Linked DNA regions of Diceros bicornis minor. Each later gene encodes a partner of the first gene's protein in a complex. Links are inferred from orthologs where the notes say so. Each region holds a gene or a part of one and is shown on either strand. Other genes may lie near its edges. The genes, in order: SART3, CCNT1 and USP4.

Region 1 (6,992 bases):
CCAGAGTTCACTCGGCACTGACAAACGAGTGCATATGCTGGTCTATTCCAGACTCAGAACATCATTAATGACAAAGGATGCTTTACAGCAAGAGGGGGCTTGGCCAATGCACGAAGTGACCTGCTGACTTCCTAACTCCCTGGAATTAGCGTGGAGAGGTAACAGATGGGCCTGATGGAAAGGACCCAGCTGCTGCGATCAGGGAAAGGCGGGGACAGGAGAACAGAGCACAGAGCAGGTCTGTGTCACACAGGCCCTGGCATAGCACCCACGTGCCAAACTGTGCCAGGAGCGTAATGCGCATCGTGTCACTTAAACTGCACAACAGCCCTGTAAGGGAGGGACTACTATAACCCTCATTTTCCCACCTGGGACCCCGCAGACCCAGAGAGCTGAAATACTGTGCACGAAGTCTTTCCACTACTGAGCAGAGGCCTTGAGCTCACATCCGGCTGCAAAGCCATGCTCTGCACTGCTCCGTGGTGCACTAACGAATCTGCCCGAGGGGGCTTTTCATTTCAGGACCAAACGCAAATAACGGGAAATCGCTGCTTTTGTTACACGGACAGACACCACACTATTTTCAAGCTTTCATAAAACACACCTAGGGATGAGAACCGGAATTCTCAAATATAGCAAGGCCGAATTTCTCACAGACCTATCTGTAAGTTATTCATCATTATGCTCAGCCATAAAAGCAACTACAGCAGGAAGTAGAAGCTGTGAGATCCAAGGGAGGTTTGGAAAAATTGGAAAAGTCCATTTCTAGACCCAGGACAAAGAGAATAAGGCCAGAGGCTCTTCAATTCACCATCACTGGCCAGGTCCCCTCCTGTGTGGTCACCTTCAGAGCTCCAGCCCAGCCTCAGTGGCCTGAGGCAGGGCAGGCAACTGCAGAGCACCAGGAGACCTCTGCTCTGATCCATCCTCCTTCCTAGTAAGCTGGGTACCCTCATTAAGGACTTCTCTGCTTCCAGGCCTCCCCTTCCCACTAAAACAGGTTATCCTATTTCCTCTACCTCACAGAATAGTAAGGTCCAAGTGAGCTAATGGCTCACTGAAAGGCCCAAGACTCCAAGTCTGAAGAACAGACGTGCACCATAATGACAGGGACACGCCAGTCTGGCACTCCATATCACACTGTATTTGCTGAACGAGCAAAAGACTGAACGATCATCAGCAAACTTCTTTAAAAGAAGCAGAAGTGGTAACCACCTGCCTACCCCAACTGGTTCCCGTGACAATCAGATATGACGACGAGTGGGACAAGCTATACCAATGGATGATATCACTACTCCATAACTTGACAAATATATCACAGTCAGAGAGGACATTATAAGCAAACTCACACCCAGCAAGCTTAAGTGAGGAACCTTCACATCACTAAGTGATTTCACATCCAGAGTGGCATCTGGTCCACAGACAACCCTGAAAAGTTCAAATCCCCTTATGAGTGACCTTAAGCAAATCATTTCATCATTTGTGCTGAGCCTCTGTTTCCTCATCTGTAAACTGAGAAGGTGCTAGATCTCTTCCGTTTGCCCCTCCAAATCCACTCCACCCCCTCCACGCTGTCCTGTGCCCCCGCCACCCCCACCGCCACCGTGTGGACCATATCAATGGGCTTCCTGGCTCTCCTGCTTCCAGCAGAGTTTGCCCAGTAGGAGGCACCGGGAGATGTCTGGAGAGGAAGAGAGGGAGGTGAGGGTATTTCTTCCCCCACCTCAATCTCTGATAGGAAACTGGGGCCGCATCCCTTGCCCAAAAGTCTTAGCTCCTCTCAGGTGCCCTCCCACCCAGCTATTCAGAAAACCAGGCACTCCCCTCACTCCTTCAGGCCTAAAAGTGGACACAAGGTCCTGCTGTTATTAGTTCTTAAGTGCTAACCTTCATTCCTGATGTCCCTGCCCACACCTTTACAAACACAGTAGTCCCTTTATTGACCTTTTCTCAAATTATCCTAATTTGAATGCACCACCTATTTCCTGCTGGGATCCTGGATTACACAGGAGATCCACCACCTGTATCTCATAAAGTCACAGATTAGAAGTCACGTCACTACTAGGTGCCCCCCACTGAATTATATTACCGTTATGTCGTTTACATGGTGCAGGAATTGCTACTCCCAATTTACAGATGAGGAAGCCAAGGCTCAGAGAAGCTAAGCAACGTGCCCAAGCACGTACAGGCGTGGAAGAGCTAGAACTGGGGCCTTCGCCTCCAGACGCTGAAATCCCCACCCTTCTATTTCTGTGATCGTCGTCACGGTCAACATTTTCTGCCACGCCACATTTCAGCATTATCATCATTCCTACAGAAAAATAACCCTCTCTTACGAAGCGAATTTTATTTCTACTGCTGGGCATAGCCTAACGGTGTGGTGAAGAGTGGGAGTGCTGGAGTCGGTTCAAAGTTCAAGACCTGACTCGCCACTTGCAGGAAGTGTGATCTTGAGCCTGAGAATTCTCTCCACGAGGAGCCTGTTTCCTCCCGTAAAACGGGGAATACGCCCCTTCCTTCGCGGGGTCCTTGCGAGGGTTCAGTGGGATAACGCTTGCAAAGCACGGGGCCAGCGGGAAGCGCTCCAACGACAGGAGCTGCGGTGACGATAGCGGTTCTGCGGCCTCGGCGTCTTTATTCCCGCTCAGGACCACGGAGGCGGGCCGGGGCCCGGGGACGCGAGGGAAGGAGCCCGCCGCCCACCCCCGGGCGCACCTGCTCCTCCAGCCGCTCGATCTCCAGCTGGTTCTTCTCCTCCTCTTCGTCGTACTCCCACTCGTACTCCCCGGGGGAGCTCTCCGCCGAGGAAGCCATGGCGTACTCCTCGTCTCCATCGCTCTCGCTCATGCCCTCCTCCTGCTGGTCCCACCCTGGCCCCATGGTCTTGCACGTCGCAGCGGCCACAGCCCGCGATAACACCTTCCTCCGCGTCCTAGCCGCCTTCACCTCCTCCTCCTCTCCCTCGGCCTTGGGCCCAGCGTTGGGCTCAGCCTCCGGTTCCGAAGCCGATGTTGCAGCCGCGGTCGCCATCTTGCGCTTCCAGTGACTCTCGGGTCCTCACGCGGCCGCCGAAGACCCGCAGAAGTAGAAGCTGCCCGCGGCGCGTGCCTGATCAAAACCCCGCACTCTTGCCACTCAAAGGGAAACTGTGAGCTTCGGGTGATGGAAAAATCTCTAAATACACGCCACTCACATTGTTTTTATATACTTGTAAAAGTTTTTTTCAGAGAAAGAAGCTTAATAATATGGCATATGTACGGCCACAACTTCGGACAGAAGATGGGTCTTTGGACCGGAAGTGGAGGCCATTAGAGGACGTCATGGAGGGAGCGTGATGACTGTGGTTAAGGGTTTGGAGCCATCTTGAGAAGGTCAATATGATTCTTGGGATAAACGCCTTGCTTGCGTCTAACCTGGCGCGTGGTTCAGTCTCCCCAGCAACTGAGCGTCAAACGCAGAGAAACCTCCGAGTCCTCTGGGAAGTATCGATTGCACCATCCACGAGAAAAATCCATTTCCCAAAGAGATTCCTCCCCTTTATGTAATGCCTGGTGCCTAGCAGGCGTTAAATAACACGTGCGAGATTTCTCGTTTTCTAAGACCGTATTCTGCAAACCAATATTAATAAATTACATGACTAAACATTTATTCAGAAACTCTTCACTGCCAGGTATTGTCATATAAATTGTGCCAGTTTGCTTTATATTGAAATAGACGCGGACATAAATATACGCATTTTTCTGTTAATCAGGGCATGGTGTTCGTTTCCTTCCTAATTAAGCTTCCCATTTTTGAGGTAGGAAAGTATTGGCGTGTTCATTTATTGCCTTCCTCCTTCGTTAGCAAGCTTAATGGAGCAGGGACTATGTCTTTCCGTTGGATCCCCAAAGCCTATTAGTATAGCGCCTTGACATATGATAGGTACTGAACACATATCTGCTCAATGGATGAAAAAATTGGCCTTGACTTAGTACAAAAGAGAAGATCAAGGCTTAGAAAGCTGATGTCATTTGCCTACAGTCACACAGCCAGGAAGAAGCAGAACCGGGATTCTAACAGGATTGTTCGAGTTTGAATCCCCACTGAGTCAAACTCTGGGCAACCTCAGACAAGCTACTAAGTCGCTCTGAACCTCAACTTCCTAAGCTGCAAAACAGAGTGAAGAAAGGTGGACTAGGTGATGCTCTGCGCCGTATTCCGGCGGTGGGCTTTGTGAACGCGAACGTAGGTCCCGCACTCCAGGAAGCTGAGATCCTAGCAGATACAGAGCCCAGCGCCGAGAACAAACCCGCCTGCGACCCCACAGCTCCCAGCTCCGAGCCCCGCCCGCCCTGAGGGGCGGGGCCCAAGCGCGGACACGTGCACGGAGCGAGAGGGCGCAGGCGCGACGTCGCGGTGACGTAGGAGGAAGCGCGCTCCGAGCTGGGAGCCGACTTGCGGGCGCACCCCACCCCTCGGTCTCGCGCTCGGCCTGCGCAGGCGCAAGCCCGCAAGATGGCGGCGGCTGGAGCGGGCCGTCTGAGGCGGGCGGCGTCGGCCTTGCTGCTGCGGAGCCCGCGCCTGCCCGCCCGGGAGCTGTCAGCTCCGGCCCGGCTCTATCACAAGAAGGTGGGCGCGGGCGAGGGGGCGCGCAGGGCCCGCGCCGGCCGGGGGGGCGGGAGTGCGACGACCGCCGAGGGGCCCCGGGCGTGCCGGCGGAGGCCCAGCCCAGGGAGGAGTGGCCGCGGGGCTCTGCGCGGCCGGGGAGCCCCTGCTACGGCGGGGGAAGGGGCGGCGCCCGGCCCCGGACGGAGGGGCCGCCCCCTCGCTCGACCCTGCCCCTCGCTGCGCAGGAACGCTAACCCGCCTGAAGCAAGCACCGGCTGCGGCTCGTGGAGCCGCCGCCGCCCGGGGCCCGCCGCCCGCCGCGGGGTCTCGCGTCCCGGCCTTTAACTTCCCAACAGTCGGGGGCCTGTTGGGACCTGCCAGCCGCATCCGGGGCCAGACACGCACACCGGCTCCAGCCAGGCCACTGCCCGGGCCCAGTGACCTTGGGCAAGTCACTGCCCCTCGCCGAGCCCTTTTCCCCATTTGTAAAATGGGGGTCTTAGCACTTCTAGATCTACGCGAGGTGATGCTCGTGGAGTCCTCGGCGTGATGCCTAGCACACGGGGACCGTTTATGGTGCCGCAGCTGTTACTGTGGTAGGAAGGAGCCTCTGAGCGGAGTCGGACACGTAACCAGCAGTCATAATGTTTTTATGTATGTTTTGGTTTTTTCGTGGGGGGAGGGGGAGAGGAATAGGCGCAACGTTTACAGCCCTTGCCTTCTGGGGGCGTAAAGTCCCCTAGACGTGAGATTCTTTGACTCCGGAAACTAAGCGAAGAATGCCGTACATCAACATGGGGCAGAAAGTCCAGATTGGACATGACCTTGTAGGTCCTTGGGCTTGGAGTCCGAGTCCGTGGTCGGAGAGGTGGGGGAAAGGAGACTGGAAGATCGGGATACTTAGAGCTAACTGGTAAACGGACCCAAGGCTATTAAAGCGTGTGTGCCAGTGTGAAGAGAGATTTATTCGCTTCTGGCTTCACGATGCCAAGGACTTCCCTCCTCCGCCTCCCGGGGGTGTGTTTTGTTGACATTTCACGCTGAATGAGTTCGAGCTAGCAGCCTTCCAGCCACCAGGGGGCGCTGCTGCACCGGGGGGCTTTCAGGGCCCTGAAATACAGAAACAGGCCTGATGTTATCATCGTACACAAATGCACAGGGTCCATAGCATTGTTCCTTCTGTAACAGTCTCCTTGAGGCTCTGGGAAAGCCTTACATTTCTGACCCGTACTTATTTTTAGAATTTTTGAATAGTAATCATTAACCTTTAAAAATGGATTTTATTTGGAAATAACAAAAATACTGTTTGAGCCCAAATCTGGTGACGTAGGTGGTTAAAGGTCAAGTAATTATGTGTGGTTAAAAACCCTGTGGAATTAAGACATGATTTGGCTGGTTTTTCTCTCGTATCTCAAATCTCTGAAGGTAGTTGGAGAGGAGATACAGAAAGACTTTGGGTCGCAAATGGTTGTCATTGACAGAGGTGTAAGCCTTCCTACCAGGGTGAAATTTGGGATTTAGTGATCGCCTGCCAGGTTCAGCCTGCCGACTTCCGGGAGCTTACTGTCAAGTCGGGGAGACCAGTACCAAAAAAGAGTCATGATTGCTCTCAACCTTTCGTTTCAGGTTGTTGATCATTATGAAAATCCTAGAAACGTGGGGTCCCTTGACAAGACATCTAAAAATGTGGGAACTGGATTGGTGGGGGCTCCAGCGTGTGGTGATGTAATGAAACTACAGGTAGGACCGGTTTTGATCTTGAATGTGAATAACAGTGACCCCTTTGCTTACACAGAGCTTCACTGTTTACAAAGCATGCGCACACACAGCATTTCGTGCAGACTCCATCTTGATTCCTGTGAGATGGGGTGAGTCAGTGTTATAAATTGTCAGAGCAAGGACTGAATGCTAGTCCCCCTGCTAGTAGACTGTGCTGACCCTTTCTGATATAGTAAACTGATCTCCCTTTTCTAGTCACTGGATCAGCTTAAATTCCAGCTTCAGCGAAGTAAAGTTTTTATGAATTTTACTGATCGAAGGAAAACCACAACCGTTCAGCTAGCCACCCTCAGTGAGACAAGAAATGTAATAAATCAAACCTCCCCCAAATTGGCAACAACCTGAAGGTAGTGATTGGCACTTTGGGGAAACCGTAGCTTTATGCACAATCTACTTCATCATGGTGGGTGGGCACCTTGCCAGAGGTTTTCATGCTTATCTTGGAAAACAGAAACAAGGCAGGAGGGAACCACTAAAGGTAACTTGGTGCCAAGAAAAAAGCAATAACCAGAGACCTTTAGTGCAGACCGTCCCAGTGCTTAAAGAGGCAGACTGACCCAGCAGCTGTGAGCAGAACTTCATAGCCAAAAAGCAGGCTAGCATTGCAAAAAAAACTAGGGAGGGGG
Region 2 (7,286 bases), on another chromosome or scaffold:
CTGACTGGATAATCAGCAAAAATAGGGAATACTTAATCCACAAATTCAAAATATTTCCCGCACAATTACTCTCAATACCGAGTCCGCCAATATCTTACATTACAAGAGCAATATCTAGTTTCACAGATTATCCTCCTATGGCATAAAAAAAGAGCTCAAAACCCATCATCCTAAGGATAAGTCTGAAATACTTTTCCTCAAAAAAAAAAAAGGGAAATATTTGACTCACAAATCCACATGATGTGTTCATCAAGTTTAGCCCTATTAACTTGTGACTTTATTAAACAAATATAGTCTTACCTGCAACTGGGATATCACTATGCACTCGCTTCCAAGTCATTTACAATAATGTTAAATAGGACCATTTCAGGTAGCAAAACTGAAAATAGCACTATTTACAATTCTGTCCAGGAAAAAAAAATCCCTTTATTACTATTATTTTCTTTTTCCTGTCTTAAAAGTCAACCCCTAATCATCACATAATGTACCTTCCCCCTGCAACCAGTCATCAAATGGAATTTTATCAAAGGCTTTTAGAAAATCTAAATAACTTACATTCACTTGTTTTCCTGTGACCATACTATTATTTAGCATACTATTATTTAGTGTGATTCAAAAATCACACTTAAATTAAGCATAGTTTCCCCTTTAATGCTAGTCTCCCAACCCAAAAATGTTAAGTTTAGTGTTCAATAATCTATTTCTTTATTAGAGAATTTACCTCATCTAAGGATGCACTAAATCTATCAAACAACTAGCTAGACTCTTCACAGGAAAATAGGAAGGCTGGATTCAGAATAGCAGTGTGACACACCATGCAAGTGATCAACTCTAAATTCTAAACTTCAAATCCCAACTGAAAAGTTCAGTTTAGCGGTAAAGATTAACCACACAAGAAATACAAAAATCACAAGATTATACTATATAAAAAAATTATACTTACATTTCGATGGAACTGTGTAAAGGACTGAATCATGTAGAATCGATGCATGTATACGATAGCAGTGTTGATAGTCAATTGTGAACTAAAATATTCAAGTTAAGGGCCCAAAACAGCAGGCAGTACAATTCCCAAAAAATACAACCTCTATATCCTCCCAAAAGGACCATGCAGCCAAGCACAGTAGATGCTCCTAAATGAAAATCATACTTACTTCTCCAAATTAAAGAGCAAGTCTGTTTTCTTTCACTGAATTATTAACCACCAATTGACAGCACAATGCCTTACACATAACAAGTATTCAACATAAATTTGCTGAATTAATAAACAAGCAAGCTTCTCAGAACGTGTGGATCAAGAAGTAACAAAAACAAAACTATGTAAGACCTAAACCTGTCACTTGCCTACTGAAAACCCTGCAGTGGTGACCCATTAGCTCAGGATCTCTCTTCACATGATTTCCAATGACCTCCCTCAACCAGCCCCTAGGTATGTCTCCACTATCTCCTCACCTTCTAAACTGCAGCAATTAACTTTTCAGTTCCACTTGTTTCACTTCTCTCTGGCAACCAAGCCTTCTCATTCGGTGATCCCTGGGACCAGAAACACTGTGGAATGATTTGATATTCATTCCTTGGAAAGAAAAACTTTTAAACGCCTTACTTCTGAAGACCTCAAAAGACCCTGTGGGGTATACAGAGATGAGGCAGTCCCATGATGGCAACAATCTTTATAACAACATATATAAAAAGGAAAGGACTAGGATGCTAGGACGCACTGAAACAGAATTTAAAAAAAACAAGGTTTAACTCAGTACTGACTTAGGAAACAAACTGGATATCAGCAATAAAAATGCTTAGGAAACAAACTGGGTATCAGCAATAAAGAGGACACCTCTTTTGAGGCGAGCACACCTTAAGACACAAATACTACAGCCAGCAACACATTTAAAGAGAAGTTGCACCCAAGAATAATTTTTCACTTCCAGAGTGAAAAGTACTTTGAAGCTACATTAGCTTTCTCTGCTACAAAATGAGCATATTTTCTGACACATAAAAATACACGGAAAAAAAATCACTAAATTACCTCATCTTTGAAATATGAGGAAAAAGAATACACACCAGCCCTCTGAATAACTTAAAAGCCCATTATTTTGTAAACGGTTTTTAAAACATTAGATCCGTAGGTCTATGTCCCTACAAATCTAAACTGACATCCTTCCTTGCTCTGAAATTCTATAAGCTCTAACACTAACTATTATTTGAATATCTGAATGCCAAGCACTGTGTTGGGCACAAAATCAAACGCAAGTGGTATCACCCCATTTTACAGACAAGAAAACCAAGAATTCGACAGCTTTCTTAAACAGCTAGTAAATGGGAGGAACGGATTTTGAACCAAAGCTGGGGCATTAATTTCAGGCCACCCTTTGCAAAGACCTTCAGATATTGAATTTCTCAAAACTCGATTTACACACTAAGTTCAAGAGGCAGCCATCAACCGTGAAACCTCCACCAGACCCCTAGGGCATAGCGGAAAAGCAGAATCCCAAAGTCATCAGAGCAGGAAATCAGAACACACCGAAAAGCGACTAGGAAGGGCTGGTTAAAACACAAAGCCGGGAAGGATACGAATTCCCAGCAAGGTTGGTGGCACGGGTGAGCGAGCGGGAAATTAATTCCGCCTCGCTTTCCCCGCGCGAACATTGAACTTTAGCCCGCCCCACCGTCAGCTCTCCCACCCAGACATCCAGCCCCTGCCCACCCTCTTCCCGCTTCCGTCCCTGACAGAGCCTGAGGCCTGGACGCCCGAGCAAAGCGGGACTGACTCCAAGGCCGAAGGCCTAGGCCGCAAGGATACACGTTAAGACGCTGCCCCATGTCCTGGAGCAGATTGGCCGCCTGCTGGCGATAAGAAAGTTCTTTATCTGGGTCCAGACCAAAACGACGAGATGGGCTATTTTCCAGCTGTTCTCGCGTAAAATACCACCGTTTGTTGTTGTTCTTCCTCTCTCCCTCCATAGTGCTTTAATCAGAAGGCAGCGGCGGAGGCTGCAAGCACTTCCCAGCGTCACCTAAGCGGCGACCCACATCCGCTGTGCGGCAGCAACTGCAACGTGACGAACTTCCGTTAAGGGTGGACGGCTAGGTTGTGACACGCTTCCGCCGAAGAGGGCTAGTTAAAGGGTCTACTTCCGGAATGGACCTCGCGGCAACCTGTAGCCGAGTTAACAGCCAATAGGCGACCAGGAAAGGCCTTGGGTCTAGGACGCAGGCGCCAGTCATGTGACCCTTGGGAGGTAGGGTGGGATTAGACGCTTTCGTTCAAAACCACGTCACCTCCCGCGAGAACTGGGTTCAGTCTTCGCGCCCATGGCGAGGGCGCGAGGCGTCGTTTGTGGAGGGGTGAGGCGGCCGCCCAGGCGCCGCTCGGCGGCTCTTCGGAGAAGTTCGTTTGTGGTGGAGGTGGGGATGTAAAATGGGGCAGACGGAAAACTTGACAGAGAAAATAGGTGAGATTGTCAAAAACTGAAAAAAGTAATCAAAGAGAGTGGCCCTATCGTATATCGTAACATAAAGCAACTAGAAGCTCTTACATTGTTGGTACAATGTGAGTTACCCATTTGAAAAGCTGCTTTATACTATGTAGCCAAAGCCTTGAAAACGTTCCTGCGCTTCGCCACAGTGATCCAACTTAAAGGAATAAAATGAAATTAATAGTAGTAATTTTGTGTCCCAGGCACAAATACACTCTTAAATACACTACTTCATTTAATCGGCACAACTTGGTAGTAACAGTTTAATCCCCGTTTTGCGAACGGTGAACTTCAGTTCTCCGTTCAGTGTGGCAAGTTCTCCTTCAATGTGGAAAGCTTCCACCGCCACCCTGCACAGGCACAAATTTGTAAGTTTCTGTCCTCTGTCAAGATGTATCCAAGCTCCAACATTTGATCTTGGGCAAGATACTTAACCTCTCTGCCTCTCGTATAAATGTAAATGATAATAATAGTACCTGCGTTTTAGGTTGTGAATGAGTAGATAAAGATTTAATGAATTAAAAGCATTTATAATAGTACCTGGCACATAGAAAATATTCAGTAGATATTATCATGATATTTATTACATTATACTGAAATTGAGGGCAAGGACAATGCCACTTTCATTTTTGTATCTCCAGCACCTACCTAGTACAGTCCTGGCCCTAATAGTCAATAAATGTCAAATAAATGCTCATGACACCCTGCAGTAAAGAAACTGAGGCTCGGAGAGATTAAGTAGTTTACCCTACACTACCCCACTTGTAAGTGTAGATTTTAAAATCAAGTCTAATTCCATTGTTCTTTCCATTCTAGCGACCTATATTCTTGCTTTTCTGGAACACTCAATTTGCTTTGATTACATCTGGGTAATATTAGAATCTTTTGCTTTTATAATATTTTGAGTTTTGTCGTTTCTAGACGTGGCTGCTCCCACTCAGTAAATTTGATTTTAATTTATTCTCAGAAGTATTTCCTTCCATTTCAGGCCCTCCTCTGTCATATACTGCCTACAGTTAACATTAGCTCCATTTTAGCCCAGAAAAATTGAGGTTCAGGAAAATTTAAATTACTTACATCAAGTTATAACATAAAAAAAACACAAAATTTTAAACTTCTTTCATCACAGATAATAAAATAATAAAATTTTTCTTTTAATAGAATAAGCACTTTTTCAGCTATGTAGTCATGTATGTTGTCTTTTAAACAGCCAAGATTCTCTCTCCCAGATCCCGCTTGCCTATTCTCTGACTTGTGTTTAGTTCTCCACTTAATTTCTTTAATTGTTGACTCCATTTGGAATTTGCTCTCCTGGCTGAGTATGCCAGGCTTCCAAGAAAAAGTTCTGCTGTCTGTCAGGCTTCAGGCAATGCAGCTGCTAACCAATGGCTTGCTACCCTGCCGTACAGAAGAGGGGGACCTGTGTAAATCAGAGAAAGAAAATATTCTTTGACTGAAGATGAAATTATTTGAAAGTAGGCAGCAGTGATACATAATTGCTCAACGTGAGTTTTTGAGTCAGGCCTGGATTCAAATTCTAACTATTCTTTTTTTTTTACCATCTTAAACCATTTTTAAGTGTACAGTTCAGTAGTGTCAACTATATTCACATTATTATGCAACAGGTCTCTACAACTTTATTTTGCAAAACTTAGACTCTATACCCATTGAACGACTCCCCCTTTCCCCGCCTCCCCAGCCCTGACCACCCCCATTCTACTTTCTGTTTCTGTGAGTTTGACTACTTTAGATACCTCATATAAGTGGAATCATGCAGTATTTGTCTTTCTGTGACTGGTGTATTTCACTTAGTATAATGTCCTCAAAATTCTCAGCTATTCTTTTAACTGTGTGATCTTAAGTGTCATCTCTACGTCCTGACAGAACACCATCTGGCACATAATAGATGTTCAGTACATGTTTATTGTCAAATTAATGTTAACCTTCAGATACATTACCCTTAAGGAACAATTGACAAAATCTTTAACCAGAGGAATTTTGCTTTTTTTTTTTAAATAGGACTCTGTTTCCTGTATATCACACTTATAAGGCTACTCTTCCTATTCACTAGACTAATCTTGTTCTGGGTACAGGATTATATCATATTTCATGGTTTGATCTTGTTTTGCATTGTGCTCATGAATATCATATTTCAGTCATGTCAAACATTACCATTTACTGCTGTTAAAACAGTTTCACCCCAATGTTCATAGTCTCCAAATTAAAATATGAAATGATGGTATGCTATTCGTAACTATCCCCAACTCCACGTTTAGTGACGTCACGTTGATAGCTTGAAATTGGCCATAGTGTGTGTGTATTGGTAAATTATGAACAATTAACTATGCACAAAAATAATTGTATGTGTATGTAAATGTACATAAGTTTATTATAAAATTTACTGATATAAAGGATGTGTAGCACACAATTTATATAAAATAAAATATAAATCTTCTTTATTGTAAATTTCTTTATTTCTTTTCTAAATTTTTGTTTATTGCAGTAACATTGGTTTATAACATTGTATAAATTTCAGGTGTACATCATTATACTTCTATTTCTGCATAGATTACGTCATGTTCACCACCCAAATACTAATTACAACCCATCACCACACACATGTGCCGAATTATCCCTTTTGCCCTCCTCCCTCCCCCCTTCCCCTCTGGTAACCACCGATCCAATCTCTGTCTCTGTGTGTTTGTTGTTGTTGTTATTATCTACTACTTAATGAGTGAGATCATACTGTATTTGACCTTCTCCCTCTGACTTATTTCACTTTGTATAATAGCCTCAATGTCCATCCATGTTGTCACAAATGGCTGGATTTCATCGTTTCTTATGGCTGAGTAGTATTCCATTGTGTATATATACCACATCTTCCTTATCCATTCGTCCCTTGATGGGCACTTAGGTTGCTTCCAAGTCTTGGCTATTGTGAATAAGGCTGCAGTGAACACAGGGGTGCGTGTATCTTTACGCATTGGTGTTTTCAAGTTCTTTGGATAAATACCTAGCAGTGGAATAGCTGGATCATATGGTAGTTCTATCCTTGATTTTTTGAGGAATCTCCATACTGTTTTCCATAGTGGCTGCACCAGTTTGCACTCCCACCAGCGGTGTATGAGACTTCCCTTCTCTCCACATCCTCTCTAACGCTTGTTGTTTCCTGTCTTGTTACTTATAGCCATTCTGACGGGAGTGAGGTGATATCTCATTGGAGTTTCGATTTGCATTTCCCTGGTAGTTAATGATGTCGAACATCTTTTCATGTGCCTGTTGGCCATCTGTATATCTTCTTTGGCGAAATGTCTGTTCAGGTCTTTTGCCCATTTTTTAATTGGGTTGTTTTTTTGTTGTTGTTGAGATGCATCAGTTCTTTATATATTTTGGAGATTTACGCCTTATCAGATGTATGATTTGCAAATATCTTCTCCCAATTGTTAGGTTGTCTTTTTGTTTTGCTCATGGTTTCCTTTGCTGTGCAGAAGCTTTTTAGTTTGATGTAGTCCCATTTGTTTATTTATTCTATTGTTTCTCTTGCCCAGTCAGACATGGTGCTTGAAAACATGTTGCTAAGACTGATGTCGAAGAGTGTACTGCCTATGTTTTCTTCTAGAAGTTTCATAGTTTCAGGTCTTACATTCAAGTCTTTAATCCATTTTGAGTTAATTTTGTGTATGGTGTAAGGTAAGGGTCTACTTTCATTTTTTTGCACGTGGCTGTCCAGTTTTCCCAACACCATTTGTTGAAGAGACTTTCTTTTCTCCATTGTATGTTCTTGGCTCCTTTGTTGAAGATTAGCTGTCC
Region 3 (7,292 bases), on another chromosome or scaffold:
TCATCCTGCAGACAGAAACTCCACCCAGGTCTAGTGTAAGCTGTGGCCAGCAAGGCCAGGGCAAGAGACCACAAAACAGGCCCAATTTATCCAAATGCCTAGAGTCTGAGCAGTATCCAGGGGCATGTGCAGACCACTGTGGGTGGTGTCCTACAGTCTTGCAGACCACCTGGCTCCACAGGGAGGCAAGTGGAGGGGATCGGAGTCTCCCTGCAAAGGAAACACCTGTTAACCCAGCCTCCTCTGTCTCTAGCATGTGACTATGTCTGTGTATGTGTAGGTGAATCTAAAGAAGCCCTGGTTCCCTGAGCATTCCTTTGCAGACTCATCATGCATTCCCAGAGGCAAGCCAAAGGGAATGTTAAGCAAAGCATGCCTTTGCTCCCTACACCAGTTGCTTAAGTTTCCTTCCCAGCAAAGGTCTGCAGCATCACCTTCCATGTTCCTATAGCACTTTTATCACACAACATAGAACACTGTAATTACATGTGAAAACATCTTCCCCAACCACATTGGCTGTGAACCCCTGGAGGGTAGGGACTATGAGCATATAACAGGTTATTAGTCAAATGAAAAAATGACTAGTATCTGGATAGTTCTTTCATTCATTCATCCAAGAAATGCTTACTGAGAATCTGCTGTGTGCAAAGGGCGAACATGCATAATTAACATCTAAATACTTGTTTATGGTTAAGACATTGATGGTAACAGAATTAGAGGAGGAAGAGAAGACACTAGCCACACCTGGGCCCAGGGTGCCATGCTCTCCCTGCCCAGTCAGGGCTGGCCACCAACAGTGGCATAACCAGAATGGAATCTGTCCAACGGTATGAGTTTCCAACATAGGAAAGTTGATTCCACTTCCACTCTGTGAGATTGGTTCAGGTTTTTGCCTTTGTCACCTTCCTCAGTAACCTAATCCTTATATAACAGAGGTTATAATGTCACGGATGAGACGTTTAATTCTTTCAAAATGTACTTCTAGAGCTTTTTACTTTTTCACAGTCTCCTGGGCAGGTTAACGAAGCACAGGCAAGAACAAAACAAAAATATTTCTCTCCTGATGCCACCTTTAATCAAAAGGTGCCCAATATTTGTGACTCCTGTCACATGTGCTCTGTTTCTGCTGGCCAAATGTGGACCAAGGGTGACTTGGGAGGGCCAACTCCAGTCAGGTGTAGAGCAAGCCATAGTACCAGTCAAGGCAAGAATTTTATAACTTGGAACAAAGTAAAGCTTGAAGTTCACAGATCCAGACATTACAAACCCTCAATTAGATCATCACAGTCCAAGATCAAGCAGTATGTGATCAATCAGCCAGGCCTGTTCCCTCTATATCCCTTCCTGCGTTCTTTCCTGTTCTTGTGGCCCAAAATCCCATGGCAACGGGTGGGTTGTTCAGTTCTGGGGTTTGGTGATGGGGCAAAGTGAGTGCTCTACTAGGCCTGCACCTCTTCCTAGGGTAAATGGCCAGAGATCACAGCCCTGGGGCCAGGGTGTCTCCAGAGCTGAATCATTGAATTCATTTCCTGCCAAATCCGCAGGTCACTCCCATAATAGTGGGAACACAGAAAGATGTTCGTTGTTTCTAGTTCTCAATTTTTAACTCACTAAATGAATGAAACTCACTAAAAAAGTTTTAAAACTGGAAATAATGCTGATCTTCCGACTATAAAGTTTCACTTTATTCCTTGCGTTTTAACTAGTGGCACTTTGTAATCTTAATACAAATTTTTAGGAGCTACTCATAATTGGTGCACTATTTTTATAGCTATTTAACAGCACTGAAGAGATCCAGGCTTAAAAAGATTTTCCAAAGTTTTCTTTTTTTTTCATTTTTATAATTAGGTTTTGTCCCTCTTTCTAGTGGTGCTGAGTACTTGTCGTACTTCTACTTCCTTAAGACTCTGACCCATGCCATAAATGGTAGGGAGAAACTGCTAAAAAAAAAAAAAAAAGAAAAGGGAAGCAGATACCCTCTAATGTAGGTTCTGAAGTAATGTCGGTAACCCAACTTTCTTTTTCCATAAATAACAGGACTAACGGTAGTGTTTCTCATTTGACAACATTTTTAACAATTTCAAAGAGCTTTCACAGAAGGGCACTTGTCAGGGTTGGCTCCCCAGATGTAGAATTATCACATGATTATAACTTATCTGCAGGGGATTAATTGCTACATGGTCATTCAAGGCAGTTTCAACTCCAAACTCATTATCCCTTGCTACCTACCCAACTGCCAACAGGTGTCTGTTACCAGATGGTGTGTGATGGATGTCCCAGGGTGTGCAAATTAATCGAAATTAGCCAAAACCCAACATAAAAATTGTAAATCTATTCAAATGACCTACCACACCTTCACCAGGCCAGCTCTCCGTCCTCCATCCCTAACACTGAACACGGTCTCCTGTTTCTTCTCTCCTCCCTCATAGCTACCTCTCCAGTGAAATGCTACTAATAGGTCTCTGGGCTATACCACTGTGGGTGTAAAGCACCCTCAGCCATTTTGTCTCTGCTCCAAAATTTCCTACAATATCTGTGGGCCATTTAAGGCAAGACATGTGGCCCCTCCAGCCTCCTTTCTATCTTTAGATCTCAGGCTTTTTCAGTAGTCTGATCCCAGCTCAACTGGCCTAATGCTCACTCTTTGATTCTGCCCCGCCTGTTTCAGAAATTGTCTCCGACCCCTCTAGTCTCTCCTCCTGTAACATGCACCATCATTTCTACACTTTCTTCAAGACCACACTCAAATGCTACTCAAGTCAAAGGCTCCCTTTCACAGCTCTGGACCTAGTCTTTGGTTCATATCCTTTTTTTGTGTGTGTGAGGAAGATCAGACCTATGCTAACATCTGCCAATCATCTTCTTTTTTTGCTGAGGAAGACTGGCCCTGGGCTAACATCCCTGCTCATCTTCCTCCACTTTATAGGGGACGACCCCTCTAGTCTCTCCTCCTGTAACATGCACCATCATTTCTACACTTTCTTCAAGACCACACTCAAATGCTACTCAAGTCAAAGGCTCCATTTCACAGCTCTGGACCTAGTCTTTGGTTCATATCCTTTTTTTGTGTGTGTGAGGAAGATCAGACCTATGCTAACATCTGCCAATCATCTTCTTTTTTTGCTGAGGAAGACTGGCCCTGGGCTAACATCCCTGCTCATCTTCCTCCACTTTATAGGGGATGCCACCACCGCCACAGCATGGCTTGCCAAGCGGTGCGTCGGTGCGGGCTAACATCCCTGCTCATCTTCCTCCACTTTATAGGGGACGCCACCACCGCCACAGCATGGCTTGCCAAGCGGTGCGTCGGTGCGCGCCCGGGATCCGAACCGGGAAACCGCGGGCCACCGCAGCAGAGAGCCAGCACTTAACCGCTTGCGCCACCGGGCCGGCCCCTCAAGGGTTCATATCCCTTAACGGCACTTACCACACACTGCTTGGCACTGGGGTTATTTGCGGAAGATTTCTTCTCCTCTATTAGACTGTATAAGTGCAGGTATTAGGTCTTATTTTTCTCTGAGGGCCGGAACTGCTAGGCAAGTGAACGGAGACTGGCGTAGACCAGCTGCTTGGCATCCTCCTTGCTCTGGGCTTACTTACCCGTCCAGGAGGAGGGCTGTGTTTTTTATATGCAGGGTCAAGTAGAAAACATACAGTGTTCAGGACATTGTACCTTGTTGCGGCAACAAATTAAGAAGCAGCCTGGGCACCTAATGTGGAGAACACACCTGGACCTCTCCTTCCCCCGTTGCTATGGACCCTCTGCGGCTGCCTGTCTCCCTGACAAGGCAAGTAGCTAGCTCACTGTGGACGGCTTGTGGAATTCTGCCGTGGGCAAGGTGATTCTGGCGTCCAGAGTGTTTGGAACGATTGTTAACGACTAGACCACACCGTCGAGTCCCGGTCCCAAGGCGCTGGTGCACCAGGCACTCCCCGAAATCCCTGTAGGGCCTCCAGGACAGGAACCTCGATCCTACTTTTGTGCAGTTAAGGACTCGCCTAAGGTCTCTGCTGAAAGCGGAATGGCAGGAATGACTACAAGAAAATATAGTTCCAGGGCTTTTCACACCGGTTGCTGCGCTTATTTAAGAACAGAATAACCCCGCAGGCCAGGACTGGATACCCGAGGGTCGAGGGGCACCACACTCCCGCCCCAAGGTGAGGCCTGCAGAACGGAAGGAAGCGGCGGCTTCTTCCCCGGCGCCCGCCTCCTCTTCCGGTTCCCTCCCTGCTCCACCACGTACCGGCAGAATAGGCGCGGCGCGCAAACGGCGGCAAGAAAAGGCAAAGCCAAGCAAGCGCTCAAGGCCGCGGAGCGGGGTGCCCTTTGGCGCGCGCACGCGCTTGCGTGCGTGCGTAGGTGGGAGCGGCCCACAGCACGCCGTGCGCTAGGCGGATGTCCGGGCCGGCTGGGCCGGGGCAGCGGACGAGATGGCGGAAGGCGGAGGCTGCGGTGAGCGACCGGATGCGGAGACCCAGAAATCCGAGCTCGGGGCCTTGATGAGGACCACTCTCCAACGAGGGGCGCAGTGGTGAGTGCCAGGCCCCCCTTTCGCCCGGCCAGGGCCAGGGACCGGGGCTCTGGCGCTCAGGCTAAGCCCCTCTTTCTCGGCTTGGGTAGGGGCCGGCTGGAGGCGATGTTAGTGACCCTGAGAGAGTGACGTGACCCCCGCCTCTCAGGAGAAGGACCCCGGGGTCACCTCTGGGAAAGCGTGGGCGGAGCTGAGGGTCGTCCCGGCCCATACCGAGCCCCAGGGCGCGGACCCAGCGGGGGCAAGGGCTGCAGGTTGAACAGAAGGGGAGTGCTCACGGGGACTTGCAGGATAGGAAGAGCCTTTTACCTACCAGGACTTGCCGCGTGACCTTGGGCAAAGGCATCAACACCTCATAGATCCCCGTTCCTTACTGTTAAAACCAGGGTAGCAATATTTGGCCCTCCGCCCTCAGTGGGTTGAGGCGAAGATCAGAAGTACATACTTTGTAACTTATAAACTGCCGAATAGATGTCAAGGTCAGAAGCTGAACAAATGTCTGAGAGCCCCAGGTTATTTGGTAGCAAATGTCAAAAATAATTGTGGCAGCAGCATTTCGAAGTGGGAAAGTAAGGTAGCCTACAGCCTAGATAAAAAAGATTAAAAATTTAGGGTTTAGAAGAGCAAGTCGGAGACCAGGTTTCTTAATAAATTGTTTAGTAGAAAGGACAGTATTTCCAGTAGTGAAGAGATTCCTGGTATTATTGTGTGGGAGTAGAAAACTGGGGGTTGGCTTTGCATTGAATGTGATTGAGCATCCCTCTTTAAGAAACTGTGGTGGTGTTGGTCATGGCTCTTATAATGACAGAGGAATTGAGCAGTGAAGAGAGACATTGGGGTTAAGAGTTGAGATACATTGAGCAGGGAAGAGAAACATTGAGATCAGGAGAAATTCGAATAGAGCTTTACAGTGTTCTTGAGCTAGCCGAACCGTGAAAGGCAGGGCAATCAGAGGTGCTTTTAGAAGTTATCCTGCATAGGAGTGATGTATGAAGGATACTCAGCAGAAGCAGAGGAAGTTTGGAATAGACTAAAATCACACACCAAAAGTGTTTGGAGTGTATTGTTCAAGGGGTTTGGAGGGAAAAGAGCATTCTAAAGATTTGGATGTGTTTATGAATCCTTGTGGCCTTTGGGAAGCTGCCTGATATCCTCTGAAGTTTGTTGGTTATAAAATTTGAAAGACTCACCAATATAGTTGTTGTCCTTTGTTCCCCCACAGAGTTTTCCCTTCTTCTTTTAAAGATTTATTTATTTATTTATTTATTTATTCCCCCCAAAGCCCCAGTAGATAGTTGTATGTCATAGCTGCACATCCTTCTAGTTGCTGTATGTGGGACGAGGCCTCAGCATGGCCGGAGAAGTGGTGCGTCGGTGCTCGCCCGGGATCCGAACCCGGGCCGTGAGCAGCGGAGCGCGTGCACTTAACCGCTAAACCACGGGGCCAGCCAAGGTTTCCCTTCTTCTATCTTAATTGTAAAACAGCATAGTGATACTTTTAAAATATAACCAGATCAACTTGATGCTTTTTGACAAGATAGACATACCTAGACAATATTGTGTATATATATGTGTGTGTGTGTGTGTATATGCACGTATATGTGTGTGTATGTATATATGTACATATATTTACATACATATACTCACACACATTTTTTATCTTGTTTGGTCCTCAAAGGAAAACTGAAGTGTGGGATGTTGTTATCCCATTTTCAGAAATAAAATTAGTTTAATGCTGTTCACATCAGGCAGAGCAGTGTAATCAAACTGTCTACCTGGACAAGGACCTCTGTAAAGATCATTAGGAAATTAACGACTTGACAATGTTATAAACCAATGTTACTGCCATAAAAAAAACAAAATTAAAAAAAATGAAATTAATGACTTGGTCATTAGCAAACAAGATTTTACCTATAGAAAGACTTCCTTTAAATAAGCATTTTGAAGCCAGTCATTGCCTTCCTTTCATTTATTCATTCTTTCAACAATCGTTTCATTTAATGGATGCCTGCCCTGGATCATGGCTCTCTGTGCCATGTGGTTCCTGGCCCTGCTCCTGCTTTGCCGAGTGTGTCTTTCAGTAGGTATTGCTTGTTCCCCAAGTGAAAAGACCATAAAAATATTAAGGGAGCAGCTGCAGAAACTTACAACCTCAGCTTTTCTGGAATAGTAAATTTTTGTCTGTCTCTAGGTATCTTGTTGACAGCCGGTGGTTCAAGCAGTGGAAGAAGTACGTGGGCTTTGACAGCTGGGATATGTACAATGTGGGTGAACACAACTTGTTTCCTGGCCCAATAGATAACTCCGGACTCTTTTCAGGTGTGGTATCCTATTGCTTTTCTAACTGAAATGTCCACCTGGGCAATGACCTGTGGTTGTGTTTATCTGTAACATGGACATTGTGAACCTGACTTTCCAACTGTGAGGGGATAGAAACAAGTGTCCTCGATTTGTGTCTATAGCAGAAGTCTTTGCAGACCCTCAGGGAGAAGTTAATTTTTTCCTAAATTAAAGGCTTCTAACAAGAGCATGCTTCTAGCATTTTAAATCTCTCTCTCTCTCTCTTTTTTTTGCAAATTAATTCTGCTAGAGATTTCAGATTTTAGATTAGTCTGTGGAATGAAAAGAAATAGGATATCATTTTGAAATTGCATCTGGAATCTGAAAGTTGGGAACCAGAATTTTCTGTGTTACCTTTGCAGTGTAACAAATTGTAGACCTGTCGACATTCATCAAGCGTTCCTGTGATGGCTATGTTTG

Evidence for each region.
Region 2: SART3 (region 1) and CCNT1 share a complex: the UniProt entries of both Homo sapiens proteins name them as parts of the 7SK snRNP complex. The link is inferred for Diceros bicornis minor from reciprocal best matches to the Homo sapiens genes SART3 and CCNT1.
Region 3: the proteins of SART3 (region 1) and USP4 are in contact, whole or in part, in a crystal structure (PDB 5CTR), measured with the Homo sapiens proteins. The link is inferred for Diceros bicornis minor from reciprocal best matches to the Homo sapiens genes SART3 and USP4. Residues at the interface, in NP_055521.1 of Homo sapiens: Asp437, Ser438, Ser439, Lys440, Gln490, Arg493, Glu494, Trp496, Asp497, Met500, Thr501, Ala505, Trp511, Tyr514, Lys529, Arg533, Cys537; in NP_003354.2 of Homo sapiens: Met24, Thr27, Leu28, Ser53, Trp54, Glu123, Gly125, Leu126, Phe127, Val128, Lys129, His130, Cys131, Lys132.

What each region holds. Positions count from the first base shown.
Region 1 is NC_080774.1:18,772,461-18,779,452, reverse strand, and holds the start of SART3 (squamous cell carcinoma antigen recognized by T-cells 3), read right to left. Parts: upstream 3,056-6,992; 5' UTR 3,031-3,055; coding exon 2,716-3,030; intron 1-2,715. Other genes in the region: iron-sulfur cluster assembly enzyme ISCU, read left to right, coding at 4,495-4,608, 6,214-6,327. UniProt on the Homo sapiens protein: U6 snRNP-binding protein that functions as a recycling factor of the splicing machinery. Promotes the initial reassembly of U4 and U6 snRNPs following their ejection from the spliceosome during its maturation.
Region 2 is NC_080756.1:20,861,776-20,869,061, reverse strand, and holds the start of CCNT1 (cyclin-T1), read right to left. Parts: upstream 3,049-7,286; 5' UTR 2,962-3,048; coding exon 2,801-2,961; intron 1,026-2,800; coding exon 944-1,025; intron 1-943. UniProt on the Homo sapiens protein: Regulatory subunit of the cyclin-dependent kinase pair (CDK9/cyclin-T1) complex, also called positive transcription elongation factor B (P-TEFb), which facilitates the transition from abortive to productive elongation by phosphorylating the CTD (C-terminal domain) of the large subunit of RNA polymerase II (RNA Pol II).
Region 3 is NC_080741.1:50,519,520-50,526,811, reverse strand, and holds the start of USP4 (ubiquitin carboxyl-terminal hydrolase 4), read left to right. Parts: upstream 1-4,269; 5' UTR 4,270-4,431; coding exon 4,432-4,532; intron 4,533-6,723; coding exon 6,724-6,851; intron 6,852-7,292.